Macaca fascicularis: one gene and its partners. Each later gene encodes a partner of the first gene's protein in a complex. Links are inferred from orthologs where the notes say so. Each region holds a gene or a part of one and is shown on either strand. Other genes may lie near its edges.

Region 1 (4,349 bases):
TGGAGTACAGTGGTATGATCATGGCTCACTGCAGCCTAAACCTCCCACACTCAGGCATTCCTCCCACCTCAGCCTCCCAAGTAGTTGGGACCACAAGTGTGCCCCACCGTACCTGGCTACTTTTTTGTATTTTTGGTAGAGACAGGGTTTCACCATGTTGCCAGGCTGGTCTTGAACTCCTGGGCTCAAGCAGTCTACCTGCCTTGGCCTCCCAAAGTGTTGGGATTACAGGCTTGAGCTACTGCACCCAGCCTTTTTTTTTCTATTTACTAAAACTTCAGGGTTCTAAGAATATAACAGATCATTAAGAGAGTACAGCAGATTTAACTTCCTATAGATGCTAAGATTATAGTGATTTATTCTGCCTTTGTTTGACTGTTACATTTATTTGAGGAGCAACTGTTGAACTGTTTGACACTGATTTCCTTTTATTAAAATCCACAATTATCAGCACAAGTATCTATTTTTCCAGAGGTTGGGTTCTGAAATCCTACTGTCTGAGTTTAAATCCTAGTCCTCCACTTATTTTAACGGTATGACCTTGGGGATGTTACCAAAGCATCAGTGAAATGGACACAATGTTAGAAGCTTTATAGAGTTATTATGAAGGTTAAATGAGACCATAGATGTGTTTGATCTTCTGCATAAAGCACTCATTGATAGCTGCTGTTATTTTGCGTCGTTGTGAAGAAAGATATAAGGAAAAAGAACCCCAGTTAAGTTTAAGTGGGTCCTAAAATGTGGGCATATTTTAATTTAATTTTAGCCAGGCTTGATGGCTCGTGCCTGTAATCCCAGCACTTTGGGAGGCTAAGGGTGGATCACCTGAGGTCAGGAATTCAAAACCACCCTGGCCAACATGGTGAAACTCTGTCTCTACTAAAAATACAAAAACTAGCTGAGTGTAGTGGCACACGCCTATAGTCCCAGCTAGTTGGGAGGCTGAGGTAGGAGACTCACTTGAACCCAGGAGACAGAAGTTGCATTGAGCCAAGATGGCACCCCTGCACTCCAGCCAGGGTGACAGAGCCAAGACTCCAGCTCGAAAAAAATTAAATTAATTTAACTTCAAATAATTAATTGAAGCACTTCTGTGACTGGGTTTTCTGTCTGCTTTCACCCTAGGGTTATACAATTCCATTAGACAAACGTCTGGCTGCTGATGGAAGAGGACTACAGACAGTACACATAAATGAAAATTTCGCCAAACTGGCAGAAGCCCTCTACATTGCTGATCGGAAGGTTGGTTGGTTATAATTTGTTTAATGCTCTTGTTACTTTTAAAATCCATTCTTGGTTACCTAAGGTACTGATAATTTAACTATAGTACCAAGCACCCAGAGAGAGTCTCACCCATGGTACGTGTGTCAGAAATGGCAGCTGCTAGTTGGCAGCTGTCTGCATGCTCCTAGCCTTTGTAGATGTGTACATACACCCCACAATGGTGATCCGGCTCCCTCACAACATGCCAGAATAATGATTTGCTGGGGATGATCCCATTTTGTGAAGACTGCTAGGTTTCGTAATTCTTGATTTCAAATTTTCCTGTATTTTAGATGTAGCTGTCCCACAAAAAGGCAGTTGCAGGCAAAGACAGATAAACATTCTAATGAATTGAATGCTACATAAAATGGCGTTCATAGCATTGGCCATCTATTAATATTGCATAATGTATTAAATATTATGAAATTAGGCCAGGCACAATGGCTCATGCGTATAATCCCAGCACTTTGGGAGGCCAAGGCTGGTGGATTCCTTGAGATCGAGAGTTCAAGACCAGCCTGGCCAATGTGGTGACACTCCATCTCTACTAAAAATATAAACATTAGCTGGCGGGCACCTGTAATCCCAGCTACTTGGGAGGCTGAGGCAGGAGAATCTCTTGAACCCAGGAGGCGGAAGTTGCAGTAAGCCAAGATTGCACCACTGTACTCCAGGCTGGGCAGCAGAGTAAGACACTTCATCTCAAAAAATATATATAAATATAAATATTATGGAATTAATAAATGATATTGAAGTTCACATGCATCATAGCATGTGTTTAGAACATAAAAAAAAGTCTTGTATCACAGTGAGTTCCTTATAAAAATTATCTAGCAGATGTAAGTTAAGATTTTATCTTGAGTTGACTTGATTCATTTTGAAAATGTAACCAGTCCCTTTTTATTTATTGATTTATTTTGAGATGTATCTCACTATGTTGCCTAGGCTGGTCCCAAGCTCCGGAGCTCAAGCAGTCCTTCCACTCTGGCTTCCCATAGTGCTAGGATTACAGGAGAGAGCCACTATGCCTGGCTTTACTTTTGTTTTTTAGATTGTTTCTGAGAAAGCATTAGTGAAACACTTGATTTACAAGATTAATTGGGGTCACTATAGTTTCAATCACTAAAATATTCCCAGAGAAGAAAGCTGACCTTGCAGTGTCTTCCAGGCAGGATATCTTTTAGTGGACAAGATTCTTTGTTTTAATTAGCAGTAACAAATCTGAATTCTGTATGATTGCTCTTACCAGCCAGATTTTAGGGAGCTGGATGACAGCCATAAATATTTATCCCATGATAGTGTCCTGTTTAACATGTGACTTTACTAACAGGCTCGTGAAGCTGTGGAAATGCGTGCCCAAGTAGAGAGAAAAATGGCTCAGAAAGAAAAGGAAAAACACGAAGAGAAACTTAGAGAAATGGCTCAGAAAGCCAGGGAGAGAAGAGCTGGGATCAAAACTCACGTGGAAAAAGGTATGACATTCTCATTACTGAATTGAATTTTACTTGGTGAACAAAATACATCTATTTTAGAAAATCTTTTTTTTCCTACTGCATATAAAGTTAGGTACATCTAAACAAAATTTAGATACTTCAGATATAGTGTAGAAATGGAGAGTAATCTCTGCCTTAGTAAACTGAAGCAACAGGAGATAATAAAAAAGTGGGTCTTCAGTTTGGGACTGTACCAGAAGTTTTTAAACTTCTGAGCAATGTACTTTTAAAAATTGCATTATTACTCAAATGATAGGCTTGATTTTCTCTTATTTTAATCTCAAAACTTAAGAGAAATTAGGTATCTAACTGAATAATTCCACTCCCTCATATGGTGAAATAATCCGGAGTTTTTCTACCTTGTAGGCTCTAATGCATCATTAAATCTGCCAGTATTTTCTCTCTGACTTTACTTAGTGGTCTACATTGGTGTATTAATTCAATTAGAATGGGAAGTCGAGTCCTAATTATAATTCAAGAAATTCTGTGAGGGTGGTTTTTTTCATTACTGAATTCTTACCTGGTACATTTATTCATTCTTTCATCTATTTAGTTCATATTGAGCATCTGCTGTGTGCAAGGTTCTCTTTTAGACACAAGGTGTTTTTGCTAGACAGTGGGTAGGGGGATGGGATATAACAATCAACATTCTAGTGAGTGTAGACAGACAAAAGTTAATGATGTAGTATAGTAAAAGGTAATAATTGATATGGAAGAAAAATAATACAGGGAAGGAGGATATAAAATTGCTGGAAGGTGAGAGTGGTCAAATAGCCCTCGCTTCTGAGATGGTACTGTTAGCAGAAATACTTGAAGGAAGTAAGGAAGCAAACCATGTGGATTTCTGGGGGAAGAGCATCCCACACAGAAGGGCCAGCAGGTACACGACTGAGATGGAAGTATGCCTAGTGTGGCTCAAGGAAGAGCAGGCAGGCCAACGTGACTGGATTGTATGAGAAAGAAGGGGATAAGCAGGAGATGAGGTGTCAGAATATTTAGGACAGGTGGGAAGAGTAGTGGCCAGATCATGTATGGCCTTTTAACCTAAAGATAAAGCTTTTACGACAAGTGAAAAGGGAAGCAATTGCAGGGTTTTGAGCATAGTGATGTGACCTGACATATTGTTTTCCAGCCTTATTGTGGTATAATTAACAAAAATTGTATAAAATATACAACATGATGTTTTAATATACACTGTGAAATATTCACCACTGTCAAGCTAATTAACTTATCAGTCATCTCTTATAGTTACTTTTTAAATGTTTTGGTGAGAACATTTAAGATCTACTCTCTTAGCAAATTTCAAATATACAATGCAGTACTGTTAACTGTAGTTACCATACAGCATTTTAGATCTCCAGAAGTTACTCATCCTGCGTAAATGAGATTTCGTACCGTGTGACCATTTCCCCAACATATATTTTTAAAAGACCTCCCTGGCTGCTGTGTTAAAAATAGAATACTGTGGAGTGGGCATGGGCTAATGCCTTCCAAATAAACTGTAACAAGAGGTAGCAAAAACATGGTCCCATATTGGACGTATTTTGGTGGTAGAGTTGACAAAATTTGCTTGTGGATTAGGTGGAGATACAA
Region 2 (3,489 bases), on another chromosome or scaffold:
TATATTGTCCTACAAGGCTCTACTCGTTTCCCCCTCCATTACCTGTCCCTCTACTTTTCCCCTGGCTCACCCCCTCCAGCCATGCTTGCCTCTTTGCAGGTCCTCCAATAAACCATGCATACTCCCAGTGTTAGTACCATTGCACTGGCAGTTCCCTCTTCATGGAAAGCAATTTCTCCAGTTTTCCGCATGGCTATTTCCCTCATTTCCCTAAAGTCTTTGCTCAAATGTCACCATCTCAGTAACTTGTGTATCATATTTAAGATTATGGCCCTACCAACTACTCCCACCCACACCACGTACATTGTTCTCCCCTCCCCGCAGCATCTTCTAACATTTACTTATTACGTCTACAGTGTTTGACCTCCTTTCTCCACCACCAGCATAATGTAAGCCTCAAGACCATGGGAAAATGCCTGTCACATAGAGCTCAACAAATATTTGTTGAATATAGAAAGGATGAACTCACTTGCCAGCTTGTCATTTCTGGAGACATGGCCACAAATTCCCAAGAAAAAGAAAGGATGCATTTTAAAGAGGCTAAGGAGGACAATGACAGCAAAGACTGCAAAGACTTTTAAAACGGGAGAAAAAGAAAATGGGATACAATAACCACAAACTTCAATACTGAAGGCATTGTGGGCCTGAAAATAACGCTCTTGGGAGAAGTGGCAGTCGGGGAATTAATTATAATGGTAGACAGGGTGGATTTAAGTACCTGATCATGGACACTGGCATGCACTCCCTCCCCCGACCCATTTCCCGCTCGGGTCTTTCAGGAGCCCTCCACCCTAACACAGGAAGTTCACACCAAGAGAGTGAATGATTTCTAAACTTTATGGAAAAAGCCAATGACAATCAATTAGCCAAAAATGAGACGCCAAATCCCATCTCATTCCAGCGCCACGCCCTCTTCTCAAACGCTTGCCGGCTCTAGGCCCTCTTCACCAACACAGTTCTCAGGGGTTCTGCTGGTCTCCCAGTGCTATTCCAAAGGGTTCACATGAAGGCAGGTCAGGCGGGATTCCCCGGGCAAGCACTTCTGTACGCGGAAGTACCAGACGCAGGAGCCATGGAGAGCCGGTCCTTTGGAGGCAGAAATAGTCGAAGGGATTGGCCAACCTGAGGAACACTGGGAGAGGTGCCCCGCACAGTGGTGGTAAGGCAGAGTCTCAGTTCTCCTCGGGCTTGTCGGCTGGCGGTCCACAAGGCTGAAGCATCTTCTCCATCAAATTGAAGCGGACTCGCGCTTTGCTCTCATTCTCTGCAATGGCGAAGTAGTTGAGAAGGTCGAAGTGGCCCATGTAGGAGCAGTACGAGTCGCGGTGTTGGTTCACCAGCCACTCCCACTTGGTGGTGTCGGCGTGGCCCGTGCCGATGTACTTGGACTGCAGGTGCTCCAGCTGGCTGTGGATGGTGTAGCGGTCCGTCATCTCGCCGCTTTCCCCTTAGTTCCCAGGACAGAGGACGCAGACAACAAATCGCCGCTCTGGCGTTTCACGCGGGAGTGAGGCCACCGTGCGGAAGCTCCCGGCCCGCGCCGTCGCAGAAGAATGGCGTCACGACGACTAAGTAGCGTAAGTCTCGCTCATAGGGCTCAAAGGCGGAAGCGGAAGCACATTCTGTCACGGAATTGGAGTTGCCGAGGCGACGCCACAAGTGTGTCGCCCCTGTAGAGAGCCCCGCCCCGTCAGAGAGCTTTGCATGATGGTCCACTTGGTGGCTATGGGAAGCCCTTTTCCAACAGGGAGCCTTGCATGCTGGGACTTGTGGTCTTGGGAGTTCGTGCTCGTAGGCTTCTGGAACTCCTGGTCTCGTTTTGTTGTTTGAGACAGAGTCTCGCACTGTTACCGGGACTGCAGTGTAATGGCGCGATCTCGATTCACTGCAACTTAACGCCTCCTGGGTTCACGCGATTCTCCTGCCTCAGCCTCTCCAGTAGCTGGGATTACAGGCGCACACCACCACGCCAGGCCAATTTTTTTTTTTTTTTTTTTTTTTTTTTTTTTGTATTTTTAGTAGAGATGGGGTTTCACTGTCTTTGCCTGGCTGATCTCGAACTCCTGATTTCGTGATCCTCCCTCCTCGGACTTCCAAAATGCTGGGATTACAGGCGTGAGCCACTGCGCCAGGCCCCTGGTCGCGTTTTAAAAGTGATCTGGGGACCTAGTGGAGGGTGATGTCTGGGAGGTGGGGAGCATCCGTGGGTGGCTTGGGGCTGATGGGAAATGGGAAACCCAAGTAGGACTGGACTACAAGCAGCCCCGAAAATAAACTCTCCCTGTTTTCCAAAGCTATCATGGTAGCACAGCCATCCCTTCACAACCAGGGATGGATTTCCCAGAAGTCGGCAGGCACAAGTTCTGGTCCCAGCTATGTCTCTTAGGAGTCTGTGGCATAAAAGAGTTATTTCAGCTCTAACCAGGGTGCTTGGTGAGCAAGTACAGCACCAATTCCCACACATTCCGGCTTCCACCTCAAGCTCCTCCTTCCTCTCTAGCCACTTATTTTGATATCCTTCCTCCAAGGCCTCACTGCACCCTACTTGGCCCTTCCATTCAGTGGGTTTTGTGGATTCAACCGACCCGATTGAAAATATTTGGGGAAAAAGTCAGTCTGTACTGAAGTGTAGACTTTTTAAGGTTATTATTCCCTAAACAATACAGTATAACAACTATTTACATAGCATTTACATTGTATTAGGTATTGTTAAATAATCTGGAGACAAACTATACAGGAGAATGTGCATATGTGCAAATACAAGCCATTTTATATCAGGGACTTGAGCATCCTCTAGTTTTGGTATCCATGGGAGTCATGGAACAAATCACTCACGGATACTGAGGGACAACTGTACTTCTCCGTGTTACCTGTTGTGCCCATACCCATTTTCTTGTACAAGCTGTTCCCTCTACGTGGAATGTCTGTTCCCTTGGTGAATACATCTCCCAAAAAGGCAGCTCAAATGCATCTCCTTAGAGTTTTCTCTGGCTGCTCCAGACAGATGTAAACTCTCCTTCCTCTTTGCAGGTTATACATCTCTTCCTTGTTATTGCTTTATATCCTACCGTTTGGTTTAATAACTTCCTTACATGGGTAGAAGCTACTTGAAAAAAAAAATCCAAAACAAAAATTTGATAAATGGTTAAATAACTCTATTACAACGGAAGGGAAGGAAAACTTTACTAGGAGAGAGATAACTTGAAAATTATTTTATTCTGCTGTTTAAACTTTGTTGGGTCAGGTTCCAAGATGGCCAAATAGGAACAGCTCCAGGCTACAGCTCCCAGTGTGAGTGACACAGAAGACGGGTGATTTCTGCACTTCCAACTGAGGTACTGGGTTCATCTCACTGGGACGTGTTGGACAGTGGGTGCAGGACAGTGGGTGCAGCCCACCAAGAGAGAGCTGAAGCAGGGTGAGACATTGCCTTACCAGGGAAGCACAAGGGCTTTCCTAGTCAAGGGAAACCATGACACACAGCACCTG
Region 3 (3,181 bases), on another chromosome or scaffold:
AAGTATGTGGAGCATTATTGTGTAATTTAGAAACCAGTTAAATGTCGTAATTACCTTTTACAAAAAATTAGTTGCTCTTAATACATTATTTCTTATAGCCGTTACATACAAACTAATTGTCTCAACAACTTCATATATTTCAGACAAAACTATCATCTGGATAATGAAGATTACTTTTTGTTTTCTATAAGAGAGGGAGTAACATCCAGTAGTAGTGTTCATTAACATGTTTTTCATGCCTTATGTCACATCCTATTTTGATCCTTATTGTTAAGCCGTGTTTTTCTTTTCCTTTTCCACATGCCTAGTTGTGAAGGAAACCTCCCTCTCTCCCTTCACTCCTGTTAGTGTCGTCGCTGAGTCCCAGGTGGCATTGATTGTGATTTTTCTTTTAATTACAAGTAAAGATTGTTACCTATATGTAGAAGGAAAGCTAAACATTTTGATATAAAATTAGAAATAATAGGGTTCAACAAAATAACTGTAAAAGTCACTGTTAACTATTTAACTTTCACTTAAGAACTTGTTTTTCCCTGTTTATTGGTACATAATTTTAAAAAATTTTCTTATTCAGGCCCAGATGTGGTAGCTCATGCCTGTAATCCCAGCACCTTGGGAGGCCAAGGCAGGAGGATCACTTGAAGGCAGAAATTCAAGACCAGCTTGGGCAGTATAGCAAGATCTCATCTCTACAAAAAAAAAAAATTGTTTTGAAGTAGCCAGACTTTGTGGCACATGCTTTTAGGCCTAGCTACTCAGGAGGTTGAGGCAGGAGGAGCCCAGGAGTTGAAGGTTTTGCTCAGCTATGATTGTGCCACTGCATTCCAGCCTGGGCAACAGAGGGAGACCCTGTTTCTTAAAAGACAGGAAAAGAAGAAAATTCTAACTCAGTTATCTGCTTTGGTTGCTGACTAATATAAAAGTATTTGGCATGCTGGCCATAGCTTTTGTATACCCATTTGGACACCTCAATATGATTTATGTTTTACTCTGAGAAAACTTAACGTCTGGTTCTTTAGAATGAATTTTCAGAAAACTTTTTAATCACAATTTATTCATAGAGACTGCCTTCTTCCACACACTGTTTTGATATCTAATGGAAAGAAATATTACATAACCTGGGAGATTCAGAGGCTTATGTTGAGACAAACTTTATTATATATTTGTTCTATATCCATGAATATTAATTTTATTGAAGGTTTATATGAAACCAAAAGTACTACAGTAGTAATAGAAAGCTCATCCTCTGTTTATTAATTATAGATAAATTTGAGTTGTTGGTATAGGAAGGTCATAGTAAGTTCTCTCACCAGTATTAGCTGTATTGTAATATTTTCCTCCTGTGTGATTATACTAATTTATTTCTTTTTATTGAAAGCTTGCAAATACAGAAGAATACATAGATGGAGCTTTGTCTGGACATCTGGGTGAAGTTTTAATAAGGTAACGAACAGCAGTGGTATATGTAAGGAGTTACTGGTGAGCATTAGGAATACCTGTTCTAAATATATTAGTGCCTCAATTTTGGAAGTACTTTAAAAAAAAAATTACTATTATAATACTTTACAATTAGACTTCAAAAGTCTTTGAAATTGTTAAACTTGTCAAAGGTAAGTTTTCAAATGTTTTAGAACTGGCCAAAAGATTTTTCTAGTGTTAAATTTTCTGGCTCTTAGCTATAACCTTTTACAGTGGCAACCTTTTGCAGTGGCCTTCATTGCAAGAACTTAGTTTTGAATTTTAGTTGGGTCTGGCTGTTTGTAAGGATTTTTGTTATATTGATTCTCTGTACTAGCTTCAAAGCTTCAAATTCTGGTAATTGTTTCCTTTGGAAAATCATAAAGGTGTCATTTTAACAACCATATGGTGGAAAATAAGTGCAATGTGCTTTTCAACAAGTCTATGTAAAACTCTTTTTAAAAACAAATATATTAAAAAATTTTTTAAGACAAGAATATTGTAAATATAGCATTCAGTATTTTCATAATAAAAATACAGTAATTCAGATCATTCTGGTTGGAACAACAAAATGGACTTTTTCTATTTACAGGTGTAATAATGTCCTTTATATCAGAGGTGTGGAAGAAGAGGAAGAAGATGGGGAAATGAGAGAATAGCATCTTTTGTTGGGGATTTTTTTTTATATATATATTTCTAGACAATAAAGATTTGTTTGTTTTTCAACTTGACTTGCGAACTATTTGTATTCAGATATTTACAAGCAAAGCTCAAATGTTGAACCAGTTGGGAAAGATTACTCACAGAACTAATGCTTTAAAAGCCACCGAATTTCATTTAAGTTGCTTTTCTTTTGTAAGCTCAATACTCTTTTTTTTTTTCCCCCATAAAGGATAATTATATGCTTTAGATATTTTTATGAAGGTGAATTTCAGACCTTTTCTTGTAAAATTATCTATTAGCTGCGACCTTTTAAATGCAACGTTTTCAAGTTATTTTTGAGCCACTTTTAACATGTATAAAATTAAACATTTTCTTGGCATTAATAATATTCTGTCTTATTTTACTTAGTCAATAAATTACATGTTAATTCGGTGTCAGTATAAGCTAAATGCACATATTGTAGCTAAAACTGAAACATCCTCTAAAAATTAAAATGATTGTACAGACAGGGCACAACAGAAATTGGGAACTGACATTCAGGCTAAGGGCATATGATTTGTTTACTAAGGAGAAAAAAGTTCTTTGAACAAAACGTAATGTGGAATAAAAACCGGTCTCACAGTTATGTTCTGAGACCATAACTTCGAGGTTAAGTTTTAAGCCTTTCAAAACCCTTCAGATATTTTAGAGTTATACATTGTTAAAATGTATATTCCATAGTAATAACAGCATGCTATGAACTTCCCTACAGATGGGTTGAGAAAATATATCATTTACATTCTCATGTTGTAAGAGAATGGCCATTATTACACTTCAGTGGTCATTTACCATACAGTTTTATCAGTAAACTATCTTTGTGTATCCCCAAGTGGAACAACTCAAAGTATAGATAACAATGTTGAGCTATATGGACTAATACTTATGAATAAAGACTTCAACAAAAGAAAATAACTTATTCCTAATCCTATGGCCCTTAGAATAAGCGCCTGTCTTCCTCAAATTGATTAGGCCTGGTACATGGGGCAGAATATTGTCATTAGTGAAAGCCAAGATTTACAAA
Region 4 (4,062 bases), on another chromosome or scaffold:
CTGAATATATAAATCATTGAGTACACAACACAAAATATAACTGAAGTAAGCTTTTTAAAACCCACCATTTTATTTAACTTGGTTTCCTTTGTCATTAATTCTTTTTAATATTATTTCAGTTACACATTTGCATCTGGTTCTCCAGATAACATAAAGCAGTGGAAATTCCCTGATGGAAGTTTCATTCAAAATCTTTCCGGTCATAATGCTATTATTAACACATTGACAGTAAATTCTGATGGAGTACTTGTATCTGGAGGTAAAATAAGATTTTTATAATAAATATGTTTATCTGTTACTTTTAATGATGAATAAACATTTGTAATGCTTCTAAGCTGTCACACTTAAGTATTATAGCAGCACTTGCCTGATTAGGGCATATTTGCATGTTACTATGTGTGTTCATGCATATTCATAATACATGTAGTATATTTCATAGTTTAGTCCTTTTGAGTTCCAATCTGATGAATCTCAGGGATTTATGCTGGGAATTGCCTAAAATTTTGTTTATTCTGGAATTGGATGTTAGATTTTAGGTGCTTTTTAAGATCTATAAATTCTGAACCCAGCACAAATGAAAGTAGAAAAGCCAATATTAGGAGAAGATTGAGTGCCTGTGTCTTATGTATTTTTATAACCGAAGTATTGCCATGCTTGGGCTAATGATGCTTAATAAATGTTTGTCAAGCTGTACTGCTGAAGGGATACCAGGTGTAACTAGATTTTTCCCTTTAAGCTGACAATGGCACCATGCATCTTTGGGACTGGAGAACTGGCTACAATTTTCAGAGAGTTCATGCAGCTGTGCAACCTGGCTCTTTGGACAGTGAATCAGGAATATTTGCTTGTGCTTTTGATCAGTCTGAAAGTCGATTACTAACAGCTGAAGCTGATAAAACCATTAAAGTATACAGAGAGGATGACACAGCCGTAAGTTCTCTGTTTCACATTTGTTAAGTAAAGCAGCTATACCAATTGGGCACTGTGTTCTCATTTAATTTTATCAGAAGGAAAAATAATCTTTATAGTATTTAAGATATTTGTTTTCTTGAATAGTGTCTATTTATAGATTTCTATATTATTTCACTGATGCCAGTGAATTCATGGATGGTTTTAATTTTATCCCAGCTTTCTTTGTTATAGTTGCTGGGAAATGTTGCACCAAGAATAACAGCAAATAAATAGATTGCTATGCAAATTAATTTGAGAATCATAAGCTTTGGTATTAGTAGATCCAAATAGAAATGTTATTTTAGATTAAAAACTGCAAACTAAACATAATGAATCCATCCATCTGTTATTAGACTTAGATAATGCCAGAAGTTTATCAACTCTTCCTAAAATTGTCAAAGAACTACTAAGTATATAATGCCAATGAATAATGTTAGAGGAGATACCTTATTTCTGTTAGAAAGGAAGCCTGTTAGACATGAAGCAAACTAATAATACTTTATTTTAACTTGCTTTTCTACTTTTAGACAGAAGAAACTCATCCAGTCAGCTGGAAACCAGAAATTATCAAGAGAAAGAGATTTTAATGAATGTGGAATTTTCTTTTTTTTTTTTTTTAAAAAAAAAAAAAAAAGCTTGGCGTTGATGAGGATACCCAGTCATTTTGTGCTCTGGCTGGGAATATAAAGGAGAAATTCACTTGCTTCAATCATTGCTGCTTCATATTTTACAATAAACTGTCCCCTGTCCCCTACCCTTGTGTTTTTATTTCTAAAACAATTTGTGATACTAGGAAGATGCAGATATCAAGTAAATGCAGGTTTATTGACTGTAACTATTCTAGATGTAATATTTTGACAGTCTTATTAGAACAACCCCCTTTTTAAAAAAAATGTATGAAACCGATTATTATAATAGGACATTTGAGGGAGCAGTAGGTTTTTTTTTTTAATCCTTTAAAAATTAATATCTGTGACTAATAATTTGAGATTAAAAGATTTAAAGTCTTAACTTATATATGTTTATTCCAAAAACGGTTTTTGAGTGTATGTTCTACAAAGTTCTGCACTAGATACCGTTCAGGAAATAGACAAGTAAGATGTGTCTATCCTCTAAGACTTCCAGTTTGGTAGCTTAGTATAGAAATTCTGTAATGGAGGTGCAGGTGAAATGCTGGGGGAACAGAAGTGGGGATGAGATCATTTATTTTTCTCAGGAAGGATTGTGGAAGACTTCATAGAGTAAGTGGCATTGGAGATGACTTTGAGGTGAAGGAGGACAAAGAAGGAAAAGAGATAAGGCATGAAGCGATGAAACCAGGCAGAAGAAAGTGTGCAGTGTGTCCTGGGACAAAGAATTTTCTGCTACTGTTGAATAATGGAGAGTAAAGCTGGCTTGTTGTGAGGAAAGCTCATATAAATTTGGATTTTATTCCACAACTAGTAAGATACCAATACTGCCATTGAAACTTGGGGAAAATAACTGGAGATACCAGTGCAGCTGTTTAAAACTGTAGCAAGGGCTGCAATCTTGTAGAGATTTTAAAGAGAAGTTTTAAAGTTTCTAATGCCTCTTTTTGATAAATACAAGTTTTATAAATCTTGCCCTGGGATCCTGATTCCCCTTTAGTCAAGAAGATTTGTCAGACTTCACCTTCTATAATGAGAAAACACAGTTATAAGAACAGTCAGTTTTTATAATTTTCCAAATTAAAAAATTGCACTATGATTTTGAATAAGCATTTCCAATTATATTACCCATCTTGCATGCTATAGGTGGGAGTATAATTGGCACAACCTTTAGGAATGTAGTTTTCTGGGGTTTATTGAAACTGTTTGAACCTTTTGGCCTACTAAGTTCATTTCTAGGGAACTGCCTAATGGGAATAATCTGACAAGTGTACACAAGCAAATTCATTGCACCTTTGTTCTTTAATACTTAAAACTCAAATGTCCTGTCAATAAGGGATGGTTTAATAGATGGTTCCTTTATGCAATTTGTTTCTAAGTATTCATTAAGTGAGTGAGGAATGTCTGGATTATTAGGGCAAAATTTCCAAACTTTACTCTTAGTTAAAAAAAGTTGTGCAAGCATTTTTTGTGAACAACTTAATGCTCCAAAATATAACACCACATTACTAACAGTGGCTTTGTTAGGAAGCAGAATTATGGAAGAACTTTCACGACTGGCTTTACATATTTCTATGTTTTAATTTTCTATAAGCATGTATTTCATAAACTTAAATAAAGAAAAAAGAACGCTGCACTTGCATTCCTGAGAGATTCTGATATGCCTTCTAACAACAAAAATCAGAGGTAGATGCTGTTAAAGGCCAAGAAGAAATGACTAGTACAAGGAGATGAGAAAGCCCCTACCAATCTTTTTAGCAGAGCTTCAACTATTGTGTTCAAGTTAGGTACACATATCAAATTCTGAAAAGCATTTAAAAAAATCTGTTTCCCTGCTCCATGCTGGCCTATATTACAGTGTTTCTTGAAACTTCTGTTGCATTAAGTTCATCTACCATAATGTGTTCATGGACCCTATGAAAGGTGCAGAATTTCATGCATGTGCCCTTTTACTTACCTGACAGACCCACCACCAGGGTTAAGCCCAAATCTCTTCCACTGCCCATTGCATATAGCTTAAGTGTAGTCAAGCTATAAAGTGTTACCAAAGAAAGGCAGCTCCAGAGACCGGACTCATTCTTGGTCTGTAACCACATATCTCAAGGGAGCCATCAACAATGACCAAATACACATCTCCATAGTTAACGCCTTTTGCCTGCTGTTGCAGAGGATGAGCAATCGGCCTCACAACAATTCCCTCTGTGCAGTTGTTGCCATACACTCTTGCCCACCCAAGGACCTTGCTCCCATGATTAAACCCTGACCTGTACCATGAATTTCTTTCCTTGGCCCTAAATGAATGTCATCAAAAAATAGGTTTCAATACTGCCTCTTAGAAAAAAAAAATTACTAAACCTAATGTTTCCCTCTAGGAATATACCCATTTCTCTATTCTTATAGCTAAACTTGTAGAGTTTTTGATAAACTTATTTCTATTTCCTCACTTTACATTTTCTCATTTTTTCAACCAATGGCAAAAAAA
Region 5 (4,672 bases), on another chromosome or scaffold:
CAAGGTCAGCCTGGGAACGCATGGAGGTGGGGGAGGTGGAGTTGGCCCACAGAGAAGGTCCAACTCAGAAGCAGAGTGGGGCCTTCCTAGGGAGCGGGGATGAGCAGTTTGCATCCTTCCAGATTTCTTGCGTAAATACTGCCTTTTCTCTTTTCCCTGACCAAATTGTCAGCCAGCCTGCTGTCCTTTCTTTCCAGGCCTCAGCCAATCAGCGAGCTGGCAGGGCAGGTCGAGTGGCTGCAGGGAAGTGCTTCCGCCTGTATACCGCCTGGGCCTATCAGCACGAGCTTGAGGAAACCACAGTGCCTGAGATCCAGAGGACCAGCTTGGGCAATGTCGTGTTGCTGCTCAAGAGCTTAGGTGATTGGGCTACCTGAGAGAGGAGGGAGGGGCTGGAGTCACTGTCCTTTGAAGGGACTGTGTTCCATCTGTCACACCTCTGTCTAGGGATCCATGACCTAATGCACTTTGATTTCCTGGACGCTCCACCATATGAGACACTGCTGCTGGCTTTGGAGCAGCTGTATGCTCTGGGAGCCCTCAACCACCTTGGGGAGCTCACTACGGTGAGTTGGGGGGCAGCATGGCTTGGGGCAGGATGATAGGGGTCAGGATGGCTCCAGGGGCCCCTGTAGTAGTAGTGGGAAACCTGAGGGAGGACTGAGCTCAACTCTCTCTCTCCTCTCCCTAGTCTGGTCGAAAGATGGCAGAGCTGCCGGTGGACCCCATGCTGTCCAAAATGATCTTAGCCTCTGAGAAGTAAGCCCTCCCCTCCACCTGGTCTCCCAGCACACATACTGGCCAGGCCTCCTCTTGTCTCTGTGGTCCTCTTTGTCTTTTTCTCTTCATCATATTATCCTTTAACACATAAGAAAGTATTAGATAACTCTGATTGCCCTCTTTTGAGGGTAAGACACTTGATCCTATCCTTGATTCCACTGTGCCTGGCCCCTTGAGGAACTTACTCGTTTCTAAGGTTTGAAACTAAAACATTTAATGTAGCTGTGGAGGGACGACCTTTAAATGCCATTCCTCTGCTGTCAGAGATCTTTTCCAAATGCACATAGTGAATGCACACTTTCTGCAGAAGCCTCAGAAGTCCCCAGTGTTTCCTGCTCCTGCCTCCATGGATGTCCCTCCTTTGTGACTGTGTTTCATCTATGGCCCCTACCTCCTTGACCCCCAGGCTGCTGCCAGAATCTATCTGCTGGCTGCTTTGTAGCCATTAGGCCAACCAGCCTTTTCCACATGAGGGAACATCCATCACACAGTGATCACTCCCCACTCCACCATATCTGTTCCTATGTGTCTTGCTTTGAACTCATGCTTTCCCCTTCCTGTCCCAGGTACAGCTGTTCAGAGGAGATCCTGACAGTGGCTGCCATGCTCTCTGTCAACAACTCCATCTTCTACCGACCAAAGGACAAGGTCGTCCATGCTGACAACGCCCGTGTCAACTTCTTTCTCCCTGGTGGTGACCACCTGGTTCTGCTAAATGTTTACACACAGGTCACTGGGCTTGGGTGAGTGGGAATGAGAGACACCGGGGGACTTTAGTCCTACTGTATACTTAACTGTCTCTCCTTTCTTTTTAATCCTTTTCCCAGTGGGCCGAGAGTGGTTACTCTTCCCAGTGGTGCTATGAGAACTTTGTACAGTTCAGATCAATGCGCCGAGCCCGGGATGTGCGGGAACAGCTGGAAGGGCTCTTGGAACGTGTGGAAGTTGGTCTCAGTTCCTGCCAGGGGGACTATATCCGTGTACGCAAGGTCAGCATTTCTTCAGCCTCCTGCTCTCCACCCCCAGTACCTTCCCAGGAGCAAGCTTCTCTAGGGGCATGCAGCAGTTCCTCCAGCCTGAGAGCATGCCCTCTTCCCCTTGTGTATGACGGTGTCCTCCCAGGGCCCTTTCTTCCCCAGACCACTGGAGGTTCATTCCTGGGAAGTTCTTCATGCATTCCTTACCTCTCTAGTTTTCCTGAAGCTGGAATTAAAAAGGTAGTGAGCTCTTAGGGTCCCCAGATGTCTGCCTTTTCCATTGATTTTCTTTCCTGCCTGCTCCTTAGGCCATCACTGCTGGTTACTTTTACCACACGGCACGGTTGACTCGGAGCGGCTACCGCACAGTAAAACAGCAGCAGACGGTCTTCATTCATCCCAACTCCTCCCTCTTTGAGCAACAGCCACGCTGGCTGCTCTACCACGAACTTGTCTTGACTACCAAAGAGTTCATGAGACAGGTGAGGACAACATCCTGTGCCCACACAGGTGGAGACTATGTAGAGAGATGGTATCCTGACAAGCTAAGAACCCAGGTTCAAGTTGCTGGGACTGGTACAGAAAGAGGAAGGTAGGGTAAAATAGAAAGACATCCTTTGTTTTGTTTTTGTTTTTGAGACTGAGTCTCGCTCTATTGCCCAGGCTGGAGTGCAGTGGCGCAATCTAGCCTCACTGCAACCTCTGCCTCCCGGGTTCAAGATATTCTCATGCCTCAGCCTTCCAAGTAGCTGAGATTACAGGTGCAAGCCTCAATGCCTGGCTAATTTTTGGTATTTTTAGTAGAGATGAGGTTTCACCATGTTGGCCAGGCTGGTCTTAAATGTGTGCCTCGGCCTCCCAAAGTGCAGGGATTACAGTTGTAAGCCACTGTGCCCAGCCCAAAGACATCCTTTCTAACAGGTGTCAGCATCTTCCAAGATCTGAGAACTAGACATTTATTCAATACATATTTGAATGGCTACTGTATAGGTGCTGGGGCTATAATGAACAAAGCAGAGTGTCTCTTGTCTCACAGTGTACTTTGTCTATGTTCTAGGCTTTTCTTTTTTTTTTTTTTTGAGACAAGAGTTTCGCACTCCAGTAGCCTACGCTGGAGTGCAGTGGCACAGTCTCAGCTCATGCAATCTCTGCCTTCCAGTTTCAAGCAATTCCCCTGCCTCAGCCTCCAGCTGGGCTTACAGGTGCCCACCACCACGCCCAGCTAATTTTTGTATTTCTAGTAGACAGGGTTTCACCATGTTGGCCAGGTTGATCTCGAACTCCTGACCTCATGATCCGCCCGCCTCAGTCTCCCAAAGTGTTGGGATTACAGGCGTGAGTCACCACGCCCGGCATGTTCTAGACTTTTCTTAGGAATAGCTTATTTGGTATCTTGAATAACACATAGAGGTGTATCTGCCCTTTGGATATATAATAATAGAGCCAGGCACCTTTACCCCTAGCCCTGCAGTCAAAGAGGAAAGATAACTTTTGACCACACACATGAGGATCTAGGTTGGGGCTGGGCATAGTGGCTCATTCTTGTAAACCATCCTAGCACTTTGGGAGGCCAAGGCAGGATCCCAGCACTTTGGGAGGCCAAGATCAGCCCAGGCAACATACTGAGACCCCATCTATACAAAAAATTAATGGGGCACTGTGATGTGTGCCTGTAGTCTCAGCCACTTGGGAGGCTGAGGCAGAAGGACTGCTTTGAGCCTGGGAGGTCGAGGCTGCAGTGAGCCATGATACGCCACTGCAGTCCAGCCTGGGCAACAGAGCAAGACCCTGTTTCAATTTACGAAAAAAATAATAATACACAAAAGATCTATGTTGGAAAGAAGGGAACTCCATTGATCTTTTCTCTCTCCTCCTAGGTACTGGAGATTGAGAGCAGTTGGCTTCTGGAGGTGGCTCCCCATTATTATAAGGCCAAGGAGCTAGAAGATCCCCATGCTAAGAAAATGCCCAAAAAAATAGGCAAAACACGAGAAGAGCTAGGGTAAGAGAAGGACGTAAACAGAACCTGTGACACCAGCTCCTTTTCCTTCTATACATTATTTAATACCTATTAAATAAAATTATTTTTGGAATAAAGCTTGTGGGAATATTTGGGATCTAGAGAAAGTGATACATGAAATTCTATCTCATATAGTCAGTTAAACTTTATTATTTACAAGTTAAATTACAGAGCAGCTTTACACAGCATGAGATGGAAAGGAAGGCAGGAGAGAAAAGGGAGGAAGCTGGCTCCTGAGATTCTTGGCTGCCTCCACCTCCTTCTCTTGGGCTTAGCAGTCTTCAGTGCTGCCCCCACTCAAAGGTCAAGGATCAGGGCTTGGAACACAGGTTTAAGTCAGGTTCTGGCTCTGACAGCCCCAGGGCCACCAGGGCTCCCACTAGCAGCTTCTTCACAGGCGTTGGAGGTGAGTGTGAAGGCATCAACTGCAAGGAGAAAGGTTAATGCCAGTTGCGGGAGGCACACAGATGTTCTACCCTTCACCCCACCCAGCCCTACCTAGGACTCACTTTATCTAGACGATGGCGACAAATGAGGCCACTGGAATTCAGGTAGAAAGTGGAGTAGGCATCATAGGTCCTGGGGAATACAGGGAGGCTTACTGAGGGAGAAGGTGACTGGTCCCAAAGCTGAATTCAAGCATTTGTTTAAACGAGTAGTCTCTAAATTCTGCTACATATTAGATCACCTGGGCAACTTACAAACATCTCAGTGCTTAGGTTGTCCCGTCTCAATTAAATCAGTGTTTGGCATCAATATTTTTTAACGATCCTTGGGCATTTCTACCATGCAGCAGTTTGGGAACTGCTGGTTTAAAAACTTATATCCAATGTTTGTGGCTGAGCCTAACATTTTATTGCGATTCTACTCCCAGGCAGAAATTTACCAGGTTGTA
Region 6 (5,050 bases), on another chromosome or scaffold:
TCAGTCTTATGTGCAAGAACTCATTTAATTATAACAGTTACTGTTTTATAGATAAATAATTGAGACTCAGAGAAGTTAAGGAAATTGCATAAGATCAAATAGTAGAGGGTGGGGCCCAGAATGGTTTGCTTTCAGGGTTAACTACTATAGTCCACCATAACAGGAGGGCCTGAGAAAAATGGCAGTGAGCCAACCTGAACTCCTCATAGGAAGCCACCCTCTGTTCCACTGCCCGTAACTTGGCAGCATTCTCCCGTTTGTACTTCTCATCAGCAGTGAGTGCAGCCTGCAGCTCTTTCTCCAAAGCGTTGAAGTCGATAATGTCATTCCTTTCCATGGCCTGTGCCCGGGAAGGCAAAGGGAATACACGTCAGTGGACGGTCAATATCAGGGGAAAGAGGGTTATTGGATTATGCGCCAGAACACAAATGACCCCAAAGCACTCTGGACATTATGTCACTCACACTGGGAGGTGTTACAAAAATCTGGTTTTCTATTTTATACAGACAAGTTGAATTTCACAGTGAGGACTTACACAAGACTTGTCGCTGAAAATAGAATACAGAGTCCTGACTTTCAATTTGGAGTTCTGTCTTAATTTTGCTCTGTGCCTCTAAAAATACTTTTAATTTTGGTGCTTCAGTCGAGGAGGCATTTGGATCTCAGAATTCAGTTTCTTCACTCTTCCCCCATAGGATTGTTCTACAGCAAGTCGTTTCAACAGGGGACCTCACACAAAAGCAGAACTCTTGTTAGGTACCTTTGAGCTCAGGGATAAAGTTTCATTCTTCATTGAATGTCTTTAGTGAAGAAGGAGACTTTCACCCAAACCACACGCAATGACTGAGCAGGAAATCAAGCAGAAGGGGCAGAGGAAGGAGCTCAATGACCCGATCCCAAATCCCTCTGTCCAGCCCAGGGCTGGAACAGAGGTCCCTAGGTACCTGGGCAATGTCTTTAGTTCTACCACTGTACTTCTGTAGCTTCTGCGTATCTGAGGCTGACTGATTTCTACAGAGATATTCTTTTCTTTTTTTTAGACAGGGTCTTGCTCTGTTACCCAGGCTGGAGTGCAGTGGCATGATCTCGGCTCATTGCAACCTCTGCCTCCGGAGTTCAAGCAATTTTCGTGCCTCAGCCTCCCGAGGAGCTGGGACTATAGGCGTGCACCACCACGCCCGCCTAATTTTTGTATTTTTAGGAGAGACGGGGTTTCATCATGTTGGCCAGGCTGGTCTCGAACTCCCGACCTCAAGTGATCCGCGCGCCTCGGCCTCCCAAAGTGCTGGGATTACAGGCGTGAGCCATCTGCAGAGAGATTCTCTACGTGGGTTCTAGTCGTGGCTCTGGCATTTACTTGTTGTGGGACCTCTCTGAACTGCAAACTCCTAGTGAGTTGAGTTAGATTTTGTGGCGGGGTCATCACCAACAGCCCTAGCGCAAGGAAGCAGGAGGTCCCCAACCAATCCCACAGCCACCCTACCCCAACGTGGGGAATCTGAACGCCAAGAAGGGGCTGGGCTGGCCAGTAACCGAACTCAAGTGTCCAGTTCTCAGCCCTCCCCAGGCATTTACTAACCCTTCTGTCCCCTTACTCAGCCTCCTGGACCTTCACCCCAGCAGCCCCGTCCTTGGTCCCCTTGTTTTCTTTGGAGATCCCCTGATAAGTCAACATGAGAGCAGCCCCGCGCAGACCACTCCCGCAGCTGTGGTTGCCCAGCAACTGCGCTAACAGCCTGGCCACGTGATCTGCCGGAAGGCCCCCCCCATTTCAGGGTAGTCCCGAGGCGCCTGATCAGATTCGTTCATCCTCAGGTCTCACCCTCTTTGGAGCAGCCCACGTCTTGGGCTACTCGTCTTGGGGACCGGCTACTCCGCCTTGCCAGTTCCTGTCTCCGCGAGGGCATACCTCGGAACTGGTCCTCAGGCGGAGGGTTGTCCTCCCGGGCAGAAAGGCGACAGCGGTGTCTGCGGGGTCCTTCCTGGCGGCGGGCGCAGACGTTTCTTTGGCGTGGGGCGGAAGCGCGTTCTCCGGCGGCGGCCTCAGAACTCTTAGCTGAGCAGGCGGGAGGTAAGTTGAAGCGGGTTAGCGGCAAGGAATGCTTGCTCCAGGTGGGATAGGAAATTAAAGAGCGTCAGATCTGGAAGAGGCCTTATATGCTATCTGCCCCTTTTGCTTTACGGATGGGTAAATTGAGGCCTGGAGCGGAAAAAATAATGGAAGGTCCTCTCCTCCGCGTGCCTCCCCAAAGCTTTCGAAGCGCGCACGCACGCACACACCTCGATTTCGGGGCTGCCTCTATAGCCTCAGTCCGTAAAATCGTATCCCTAGAAAGGAGTGTTGCTCTAACTGTCCAGTCCCGTCGCTCATTCCCTTTTCCATCTGTGCCGCCTTCAGCCGTTCTCTGCCAAGTTCCCTCCGACGTTCCCTTTGAGCGCCTGCATTGTAGCGGGAAGCAGCAGTGAGGTTTGTAACCATGAGTCGCTAGTTTTGTGTAACTGTGGGCAAATCAGCTATATTCTCTGTACCATGTTAGAGTCACTCATTAGTTCGATAAATACGTATTGAGGGCTTAGTCTACGCTAGGCACTGTTCTAAGTAAACAAAACAAGCCCTTGCTTAAACTGTAGTTGGGGAAATGAACGGTAAACAACTAGATAGAAGTCAGCTAGTGATAAATGTATAACATTTGTGAATAACAATAAAACAGTGAAAGTGGGAAGTTGGAGAGTATGTATGGGGGACTTTTTAGAGTGACAGAGAAGGTGACATTTTAGTGGAGACTTGATTGAAATAAAGGGACAAGGTGAAAATATCAAAGGGAAGAGCGTTTTGGACAAAGAGAATGGCAAGTGCAGTGGCCCTGAGGCAGAACTGAACTTGGCTTGTTCCATGAACAGCTTTATATAAAATTTTTTTCAATCGGCCGGGCGCGGTGGCTCACGCCTGTAATCCTAGCACTTTGGGAGGCAGACTCGGGCGGATCACCCGAGGTCAGGAGTTCGAGACCAGCCTGGCCAAAATGGTGAAACCCCCCCCTCTACTAAAAATACAAAAAAATTAGCCGGGCGTAATGGTGCACGCCTGTAGTCCCAGCTACTCGGGAGTCTGAGGCAGGAGAATCTCTTGAACCCAGGAGGCGGAGGTTGCAGTGAACCAAGATCGTCCCGTTGTACTCCAGCCTGGGCAACAAGAGCAAAACTCTGTCTCAAAAAATATATATAAAATAAATAGATAAATAATTTCTTCAAGCACTTGACTGGGGTCTTGGGAGAATGAGATAAGCATAAATGCGATAATAGCTTTTTGGAAGTAAAAAGAATCTGTATGCATGTGAAAGTTTCCATAATAATTTACATTTAGTTATTGGTCCTTGGAGCTCCGATTCTCTCTCTACATTCAGCACCCAGCAGATGGCATTGAGGGAGGTGGAGGTATCAGTCTAATCCAAGAAATATCAGCATCTTAAAATTAAACATCCCATTCAGTTAACATTTATCCAGTTTCTACTTATGCAAGGTGCTGTCTTGGCTGTTGACTGTGTTAGCATTGGTACTTTTTTCTCAACTATTTAAAAATGTAAAATGCAGCTGGGTGCGGTGGCTCACAGCTGTAATCTCAGCACTTTGGGAGGCCGAGGCGGGCGAATCACCTGAGGTCAGGAATTCGAAACTAGCCTGGCCAATGTGGTGAAACCCCATCTCTACTAAAAATACAAAAATTAGCCAACTGAGGTGGTGGGTGCCTGTAATCCCAGCTACTTGGGAGGTTGAGGCAGGAGAACCGCTTGAACCTGTGAGGTGGAGGTTGCAGTGAGTCAAGATGGTGCCACTGCACTCCAGCCTGGGCAACAGAATGGGACTCTGTCTCAAAAAAATAAAAAAGTAAAATGCATTCTTAGCTGGAGGACCATGCAAAAACAGGTGGAGGGGCCAGATTTGGCCACAGGTCAGAGTTTGTGAATTCTTGCCCTAAAGTATTAGGAGCTGAAGAGGCATTGTGTCAGCAGCTTACTGTCAAATATTTGGGGAAAAGAAAGTTATTTGTACTGTTCTTGCCACTTTTTGGTATTATTTTAAAATTAAATTTAGTATCATAAAAGAAGTGAAGGGAAGAAGCAGATGCATGGAACACAGGGTTCTCATGATCAAGGATGGCAAAAAATAATGCTAGCTGTTTATTGAGCCTGGGACTCTGGTAAATTCTTTACACAGGGTGTTTTTTGTAATCCTCATAAACATTTATTCAGTGAGGATTATTCATTCCATTTTCCAGTTGAGGAATAAAAGTCAGGTTTGGAGAGATGAAGCAACTTACCTGAAGTTACATAGTTGTTAGTGGCAAAGTTAGAATTTGAATCTAAGTCTTCCAACTCCAGAGCCCTGATGCTCTAGTCTGTTATTTATTGCTTATAAACTATAGTTGGTGATGGTAATTAGTACAGTTAACTACTATTTGTTTGTTTGTTTATTTATTTATTTATTTATTTTGAGACAGAGTTTTGCTCCGTCGCCCAGGCTAAAGCGCAGTGGTGCAATCTCAGCTCACTGCAACCTCTGCCTCCTGGATTCAGGTGATTCTCCTGCCTCAGCCTCCTGAGTAGCTGGGACTACAGGTGCGTGCCACCACACCTGGCTAATTTTTTGTATTTTTAGTAGAGATGGGGTTTCACTGTGTTAGCCAGGATGGTGTCGATCTCCTGACCTCGTGATCTGCCCACCTTGCCCTCCCAAAGTGCTGGAATTACAGGTGTGAGCCACTGCACCCAGCCAGTTAACTACTATTTAAGACAAAATTAAACACTGATAAAGGTGCAAAAAGCTCTAGTAGGATAGGGGAATGAGAAATTGAGGAGCTAGGAAAGCTTGAAGGAGGTGGTGGCATTTGAACTGTTTCTTTGAATAGAATTTCAATAATTGAAGTGGAAAAAACCCACAAAACACTACTTACTTACAAAGGGAAAATGAGTAACTTTACAATAGAGAGGCCTGGCAAACATCACCTTAATGAAGTGATCAAAGTTAACGTTACCACCAATGAGGCAAATTG
Region 7 (5,044 bases), on another chromosome or scaffold:
CTGCTGTGAACCTTGCAACATCCACAAGTTGAAGGAAGCAATCTTTGTCCCTGCCAGGGCCCTCCACTCGTGTGGGTTGCCCAGGTTCTCTATCACAGCCTTCTTCTCACGGGTATTGCCCAATTCCTTTCCCATGGCTTGCTGCCCCATAAGTGGCCCAACCACTCAGCCAGGGCCCTCTGTCCATGGATGGCCCTACCATCCTGCCATAGCAATCCCTCTGCCAGTGTATGCTACCTGTGTTTGCTTGGCCAGCCCCTTTTGCCATGGTCTGCTACCTGTACATGCTGTCCAACTTCTCTGAAACAGTACTATGCTCTGAAGGCCTACAAAACCCAAATGTAGTGGTCCTTTGCACCTGTGCCAAGATCCTCTGGCCCTGTGGACTAACTGTGCTGTTTACCTCTGGGGTTGCAGGCCAGCTGCCCAGCCCCTCTCCTACTAGCTGCTACTACCAGTATGAGCCACCAACACCCTCTCCCACCAAATGCTGCTGCCAACACCTCAGCAGAATGAAGAATATACAGATCTCCTATTCATTCTTGTTCCTCGTCAGGCTGTGATTCTCAGCCTCCAGGTAGAGATTGGCTTTGCTCACTAACCTTACATTCATTGAGAATCAAAGAAAGCAAACTACAACCTTCTTTCTGTTTTTCATCCCAATTCCTCTGTGGTTTGCCCCAGTCGTATGATGCCACACAGGCAAGGACCAGAAGGGCCCTGTGACCATGGGTTACCCCTAGTTTGCAAGAGCCCAAGGAGGCGTACCAATATGGAACCTTCCTGAGGGTTCCAGTCTGTTCCAGTCTAGGCCCAGGCTGAACAAACCTCAGTGAAAAACAACAGAAATAGACTAGAATCCCCAAGATGGCCTCCCAAATTAACAAACCTCTTGGATCTCCCACAGGAGAACATTCTAGAACCATGTCCTGGGACTGATCTAGACTAGAGCAGAAGCTCCAGCCCTCCCCATGCAGGGACACCATTCAGCCTAGAGTGAAAATAAGTGGTTTTTGTGATGCCACAAAATGCATTACAGAAAAAAGTACTCTGTCGACTCAGGAGGCAGGAAATGAAAGGGGACTTACTGTGAGAACACACAGATGATGTCCCCTTCAGTCAGTTCATAAGGAAGCCCTCCTAGAAAAGAAAACCACATTTCAGTTCCACCAACATTTACCAAGTGTTTACTACGTACCATGCACTAGGCCAGGCACTAGGGGTGCAAACAGTAAGCAACAGGCCCTGCCCTTAAAGAAATCAAGTCTGGGCTGGGCACCATGGCTCACGCCTGTAATCCCAGCACTTTGGGAGGCCAAGGCGGGTGGATCACCTGAGGTCAGGAGTTCGAGACCAGCCTGGTCAACATGGCGAAACCCCGTCTCTACTAAAACTACAAAAAAAATTAGCCGGGCGAGGTGGCGGGCACCTGTAATCCCAGCTACTCAGGAGGCTTAAGCAGGAGACTCGCTTGAACCCAGGAGGCAGAGGTTGTAGTGAGCCGAGATCACGTCACTGCACTCCAGCCTGGACAACAAGAGTGAAACTCCAACTCAAAAAAAAAAAAAAAAAAAAGAAAGAAAGAAATCAAGTCTGATGCAATGACAGAAGTACATGTAAGGTGCCAGTAGAACAGGAAAAGGAGTGACTAATTTTGAGTGGAAGTCAGTGTCACCACTAACAAAAGTAAACTGATCACTCAGTCCTCCTGGCACCCAAAATCCTATGGGCAAAGCAGATAGTTTCCATCACAAACCTCTGCTTCCACAAACATGTTGAATTCATCTGCTCATTACCCACAAATTTACAGCTATGATACAAAATTAGTCTACATATGTCATGATTAACCCCACCTACACATAGACAAAGGTTATAAAGACACTGTTAAGCATTTCCTAGGGAATAATTTCCCTTCCAAATGTTTCTTTCCTCATCTGTAAGATGGGGATATTAGCAGGTAACTCGCAAGACTGTTATAAGAGTTAAATAAAACGATGCATATAAAGTGCTTAGCACAACGTTTTTACAATAACCTCTTTGAAGCATCAAACTTGTACAATTACTGGTTGTGATATAAAGTGAATACAGTAATGGTAGTGTGGCCATGGTCAGAAAGCAGGAGCTAGAGGAGCAAAGTGAATTCTGCAAGGGAAGGGGAATGGGGGAGGGCGGTGGTAGCAATATGGGGCTGTGGCTAAGACCATGAGTTCTAGAAAGCTATAGTTCTGCCTGTTGCGGTTATTAGCTATGTGACCTTAAGGAAGTCCCTTAACTTCTCTGCACCCCAATTTCCTCAGCTGTAATAACGGGTCAGGGGGTGAGAGAGAAATAACAACAGTCCCTGAACCTTAGCACAGCAAATGGCAAACAGTAACTCTCATGAGCACTGATTTGGCTGGGAAGGAAAACTAAAAATGGGGCAGAAAAAAAAAAAAAAAAAAAAGATGGAACACGGATTCCCGGGCAGACAGCAGATGGATATAAAGGAGGGCAATGAATGTAAGCAGGAGTGAAGGGTGAAAATGCTGAAATAGTCGGACACCGAGCAGGAGAATCTTGGGAGCACTGCGGAAGAAAGATGTGCACCTCACCCAGGAAGATCCAGGCGCTGTCCTTGTACTCGGAGTGCCAGGACACTTTATCGGCCACCCCAAGCTGGACCTCTCGTTCATTCAGCTCGTTGATCAGCTTCACCTTAGTTAAAGGACTTCACGGTGGCGGGGGTGAGGGGAGGCAGAAAAGCAGACAAGTAAATGCTAACCGGCCGAAGCTGAAGAAGAGCAAAACAAGGGGACGAGGTGTTCTAGTCCCCGCGCCTCTCCCGCCCCTCGACCCCGCAGACGCTCTACCACCCCAGCCCCAGTAGACCACCCTCAGCGGCCCGCTGCTCGTTCCTCAAAAGGAAGCTGACGCCTTACTTCATCTCCGCGGGCTCGCGCTCAGCATTCAGGAATCAGCGCCCGGGAAAGGCAGCGCCGCGCATGCGCGGCCCCGGCGCCGGTGGCTCGTCGAGTCGGTGACCTCGCGCCGGAAGAGCTGGGGCGTACCGGGGCGTGGCGCCTGCGCACTAGAAGCCTTCCGCGTTCTTTGCGGTTACCTCTTGTAGAAACGGTTTTTCTCTAATTTTTCGCTTTTTCTCCTCTGTGAAATGGGGTAAAGGCACGAGCCTGGGCTGTTGCAGGACCCCCAGCTCTTGAACGATATCGGAAACTGGTTAGATTAGCTATAAATATTTGCTGAATGAACGGAATAAGCAGCCTGATGTGGCGACTTTAGTCTCAGCCCTCGCTCCCAGTCCAGAGTCCCACTTGGACCTTCGCTCTTAGTCAGTTGCTCACGCACAGACCCATCAAAGCATCCCTGTCATGGCAGAAAAGTGAAGAAGATAGGTGAAAAGGTAAATCTTCTGTTGTTCTTATCCCAATACATAGGCAACAGACCAGTGTGCCTCTATAGGCTGAATTGAATACCTACAGATTTGCATGAGAGCCGCTGCACTTACTCTTTTCCATAGGCTCTCTCCTAGTTGAGCAGGAGACAGAAATTAATATTGTTAAATTAATAGCTAGCAAGTGAGCAGATGATGTACTGTATGATACTAGAGTATGTGCTAAGCAATTTACATGTATTGTCTCTCCACCCTCACAACAACCCAATGAAGCAGATAAAATTACAATTCCTGGCCGGGCGCAGCAGCTCATGCCTGTAATCCCAGCACTTTGGGAAGCTGAGGGAGGAGGATTGCTTGAACTCAGGAGTTTGAGACCAGCCTGGGCAACATAGCAGAACCTGTCTCTAAAATAAAGGAAAAAAGGGGGGGCCAGGTGTGGTGGCTCACACCTGTCATCCCAACACTTTGGGAGGCTAAGGCAGGTGGATCACCTGAGGTCAGGAGTTCAAGACCTACCCAGCCAACATGGTGAAACTCTGTCTCCTCTAAAAATACAAAAATTAGCTAGGCATGGTGGCACACGCCTGTAATCCCAGCTACTCGGGAGGCTGAGGCAGGAGAATCACTTGAACCTGGGAGGCAAAGGTTGCAGTGAGCTGAGATCGCACCACTGCACTCCAGCCTGGGCAGCAGAGCGAGACTCCTTGTTTTTAAAAAAAAAAAGAAAGAGAAAGTAAAAGAAATTTCCACCCTCGTTTTGTAGAGGAAGAAATGAGGCTCAAATGAATAAATTAACTAGAAAGGTACTAGAGCACCTGCACCCAGTAGGTCAGGTTGATTCAATCAGTCCTTACTGAACATCTAGATTTGTCCTGTGCAGCTAAGGTCTGTAGACAGGAGTATCAGGTTGGGTCCTCTGCCCTCAAGGAGCTAATATTATAATTAAGGGGACAAGATATATTTGCCTGATAGATTTCAACCAGAAATATCTAGAAACCAGTGGAAGAGATGATTAACATATAATATGTGATTTAACCCATATTGACAGTTTGAATCCATTTTGCACATGTCCACATCAGTACCTGCTCTTGGACCATGATGTTCTAAAAGTAAAAGTCCAGAGCTGTGTGGCCTATCTCAGAGCACCAGATATTAGGTCCTTCATAAAAACATTTTGATGACGATACCAACTGTACCCTCAAGTGGCCCACCATGTAACCAATGTCCTGCCAAAAAGGAGAACAGAGCCTGCCCACCAATGACAGTTTCTCCTCATTCATTCTATGTCTGTTCCCCCTTCCCCATTCCAACCTAGCTATTCATTAACTTTGTAAAATTATCTTGGCAATGAAAGCTAAACAGTGACAGATTGCATATGGGGGTTATCTGCTCCTAGGAATCTCAGGTTGCTTAGTTGTGGGTTGAAGTAGCCACTGCAGAGTGATAAACTAGCATGCAGCATTATCTTGCTGACTCTTTCAAATGGCTGTGAAATGAGAGAGTTAAGACTATACCTGGGGATAAGTCATCAGTGTTCCAAGAGAAGCTGGAGCAAAAGAGTAGAATAAGACCAATTTAGATTGAGAACATGAGAAGGCTATTATTACTATGCAGCTGGTAGGTTCAGCAGAGCTATTCTGAAGGTGAGAGAGC

What was found.
Region 2: SNW1 (region 1) and SF3B5 share a complex: the UniProt entries of both Homo sapiens proteins name them as parts of the minor spliceosome. The link is inferred for Macaca fascicularis from reciprocal best matches to the Homo sapiens genes SNW1 and SF3B5.
Region 3: SNW1 (region 1) and SNRPF share a complex: the UniProt entries of both Homo sapiens proteins name them as parts of the minor spliceosome. The link is inferred for Macaca fascicularis from reciprocal best matches to the Homo sapiens genes SNW1 and SNRPF.
Region 4: SNW1 (region 1) and PLRG1 share a complex: the UniProt entries of both Homo sapiens proteins name them as parts of the minor spliceosome. The link is inferred for Macaca fascicularis from reciprocal best matches to the Homo sapiens genes SNW1 and PLRG1.
Region 5: SNW1 (region 1) and DHX16 share a complex: the UniProt entries of both Homo sapiens proteins name them as parts of the minor spliceosome. The link is inferred for Macaca fascicularis from reciprocal best matches to the Homo sapiens genes SNW1 and DHX16.
Region 6: SNW1 (region 1) and EFTUD2 share a complex: the UniProt entries of both Homo sapiens proteins name them as parts of the minor spliceosome. The link is inferred for Macaca fascicularis from reciprocal best matches to the Homo sapiens genes SNW1 and EFTUD2.
Region 7: SNW1 (region 1) and RBMX2 share a complex: the UniProt entries of both Homo sapiens proteins name them as parts of the minor spliceosome. The link is inferred for Macaca fascicularis from reciprocal best matches to the Homo sapiens genes SNW1 and RBMX2.

Annotation. Positions count from the first base shown.
Region 1 is NC_088381.1:145,685,864-145,690,212, reverse strand, and holds part of SNW1 (SNW domain-containing protein 1), read left to right. Parts: intron 1-1,125; coding exon 1,126-1,242; intron 1,243-2,593; coding exon 2,594-2,735; intron 2,736-4,349. UniProt on the Homo sapiens protein: Involved in pre-mRNA splicing as component of the spliceosome. As a component of the minor spliceosome, involved in the splicing of U12-type introns in pre-mRNAs.
Region 2 is NC_088378.1:48,298,589-48,302,077, forward strand, and holds SF3B5 (splicing factor 3B subunit 5), read right to left. Parts: upstream 1,510-3,489; 5' UTR 1,434-1,509; coding exon 1,173-1,433; 3' UTR 824-1,172; downstream 1-823. UniProt on the Homo sapiens protein: Component of the 17S U2 SnRNP complex of the spliceosome, a large ribonucleoprotein complex that removes introns from transcribed pre-mRNAs.
Region 3 is NC_088385.1:102,898,217-102,901,397, forward strand, and holds the end of SNRPF (small nuclear ribonucleoprotein F), read left to right. Parts: intron 1-1,378; coding exon 1,379-1,443; coding exon of another isoform or gene 1,444-1,447; exon of another isoform or gene 1,448-1,479; intron 1,480-2,050; coding exon 2,051-2,117; 3' UTR 2,118-2,189; downstream 2,190-3,181. UniProt on the Homo sapiens protein: Plays a role in pre-mRNA splicing as a core component of the spliceosomal U1, U2, U4 and U5 small nuclear ribonucleoproteins (snRNPs), the building blocks of the spliceosome.
Region 4 is NC_088379.1:159,451,786-159,455,847, reverse strand, and holds the end of PLRG1 (pleiotropic regulator 1), read left to right. Parts: intron 1-119; coding exon 120-259; intron 260-736; coding exon 737-930; intron 931-1,478; coding exon 1,479-1,538; 3' UTR 1,539-3,222; downstream 3,223-4,062. UniProt on the Homo sapiens protein: Involved in pre-mRNA splicing as component of the spliceosome. Component of the PRP19-CDC5L complex that forms an integral part of the spliceosome and is required for activating pre-mRNA splicing.
Region 5 is NC_088378.1:142,000,293-142,004,964, forward strand, and holds the end of DHX16 (pre-mRNA-splicing factor ATP-dependent RNA helicase DHX16), read left to right. Parts: coding exon 1-4; intron 5-197; coding exon 198-360; intron 361-447; coding exon 448-566; intron 567-691; coding exon 692-759; intron 760-1,346; coding exon 1,347-1,509; intron 1,510-1,607; coding exon 1,608-1,769; intron 1,770-2,065; coding exon 2,066-2,239; intron 2,240-3,634; coding exon 3,635-3,763; 3' UTR 3,764-3,854; downstream 3,855-4,672. UniProt on the Homo sapiens protein: Required for pre-mRNA splicing as a component of the spliceosome. Contributes to pre-mRNA splicing after spliceosome formation and prior to the first transesterification reaction.
Region 6 is NC_088390.1:65,951,688-65,956,737, reverse strand, and holds the start of EFTUD2 (116 kDa U5 small nuclear ribonucleoprotein component), read left to right. Parts: upstream 1-1,994; 5' UTR 1,995-2,071; intron 2,072-2,398; 5' UTR 2,399-2,467; intron 2,468-4,494; exon of another isoform or gene 4,495-4,498; 5' UTR 4,499-4,616; intron 4,617-5,050. Other genes in the region: DNAAF19 (dynein axonemal assembly factor 19), read right to left, coding at 195-337. UniProt on the Homo sapiens protein: Required for pre-mRNA splicing as component of the spliceosome, including pre-catalytic, catalytic and post-catalytic spliceosomal complexes. Component of the U5 snRNP and the U4/U6-U5 tri-snRNP complex, a building block of the spliceosome.
Region 7 is NC_088395.1:136,675,905-136,680,948, reverse strand, and holds the start of RBMX2 (RNA-binding motif protein, X-linked 2), read right to left. Parts: upstream 2,988-5,044; 5' UTR 2,924-2,987; coding exon 2,919-2,923; intron 2,708-2,918; coding exon 2,592-2,707; intron 1,141-2,591; coding exon 1,089-1,140; intron 1-1,088. UniProt on the Homo sapiens protein: Involved in pre-mRNA splicing as component of the activated spliceosome. As a component of the minor spliceosome, involved in the splicing of U12-type introns in pre-mRNAs.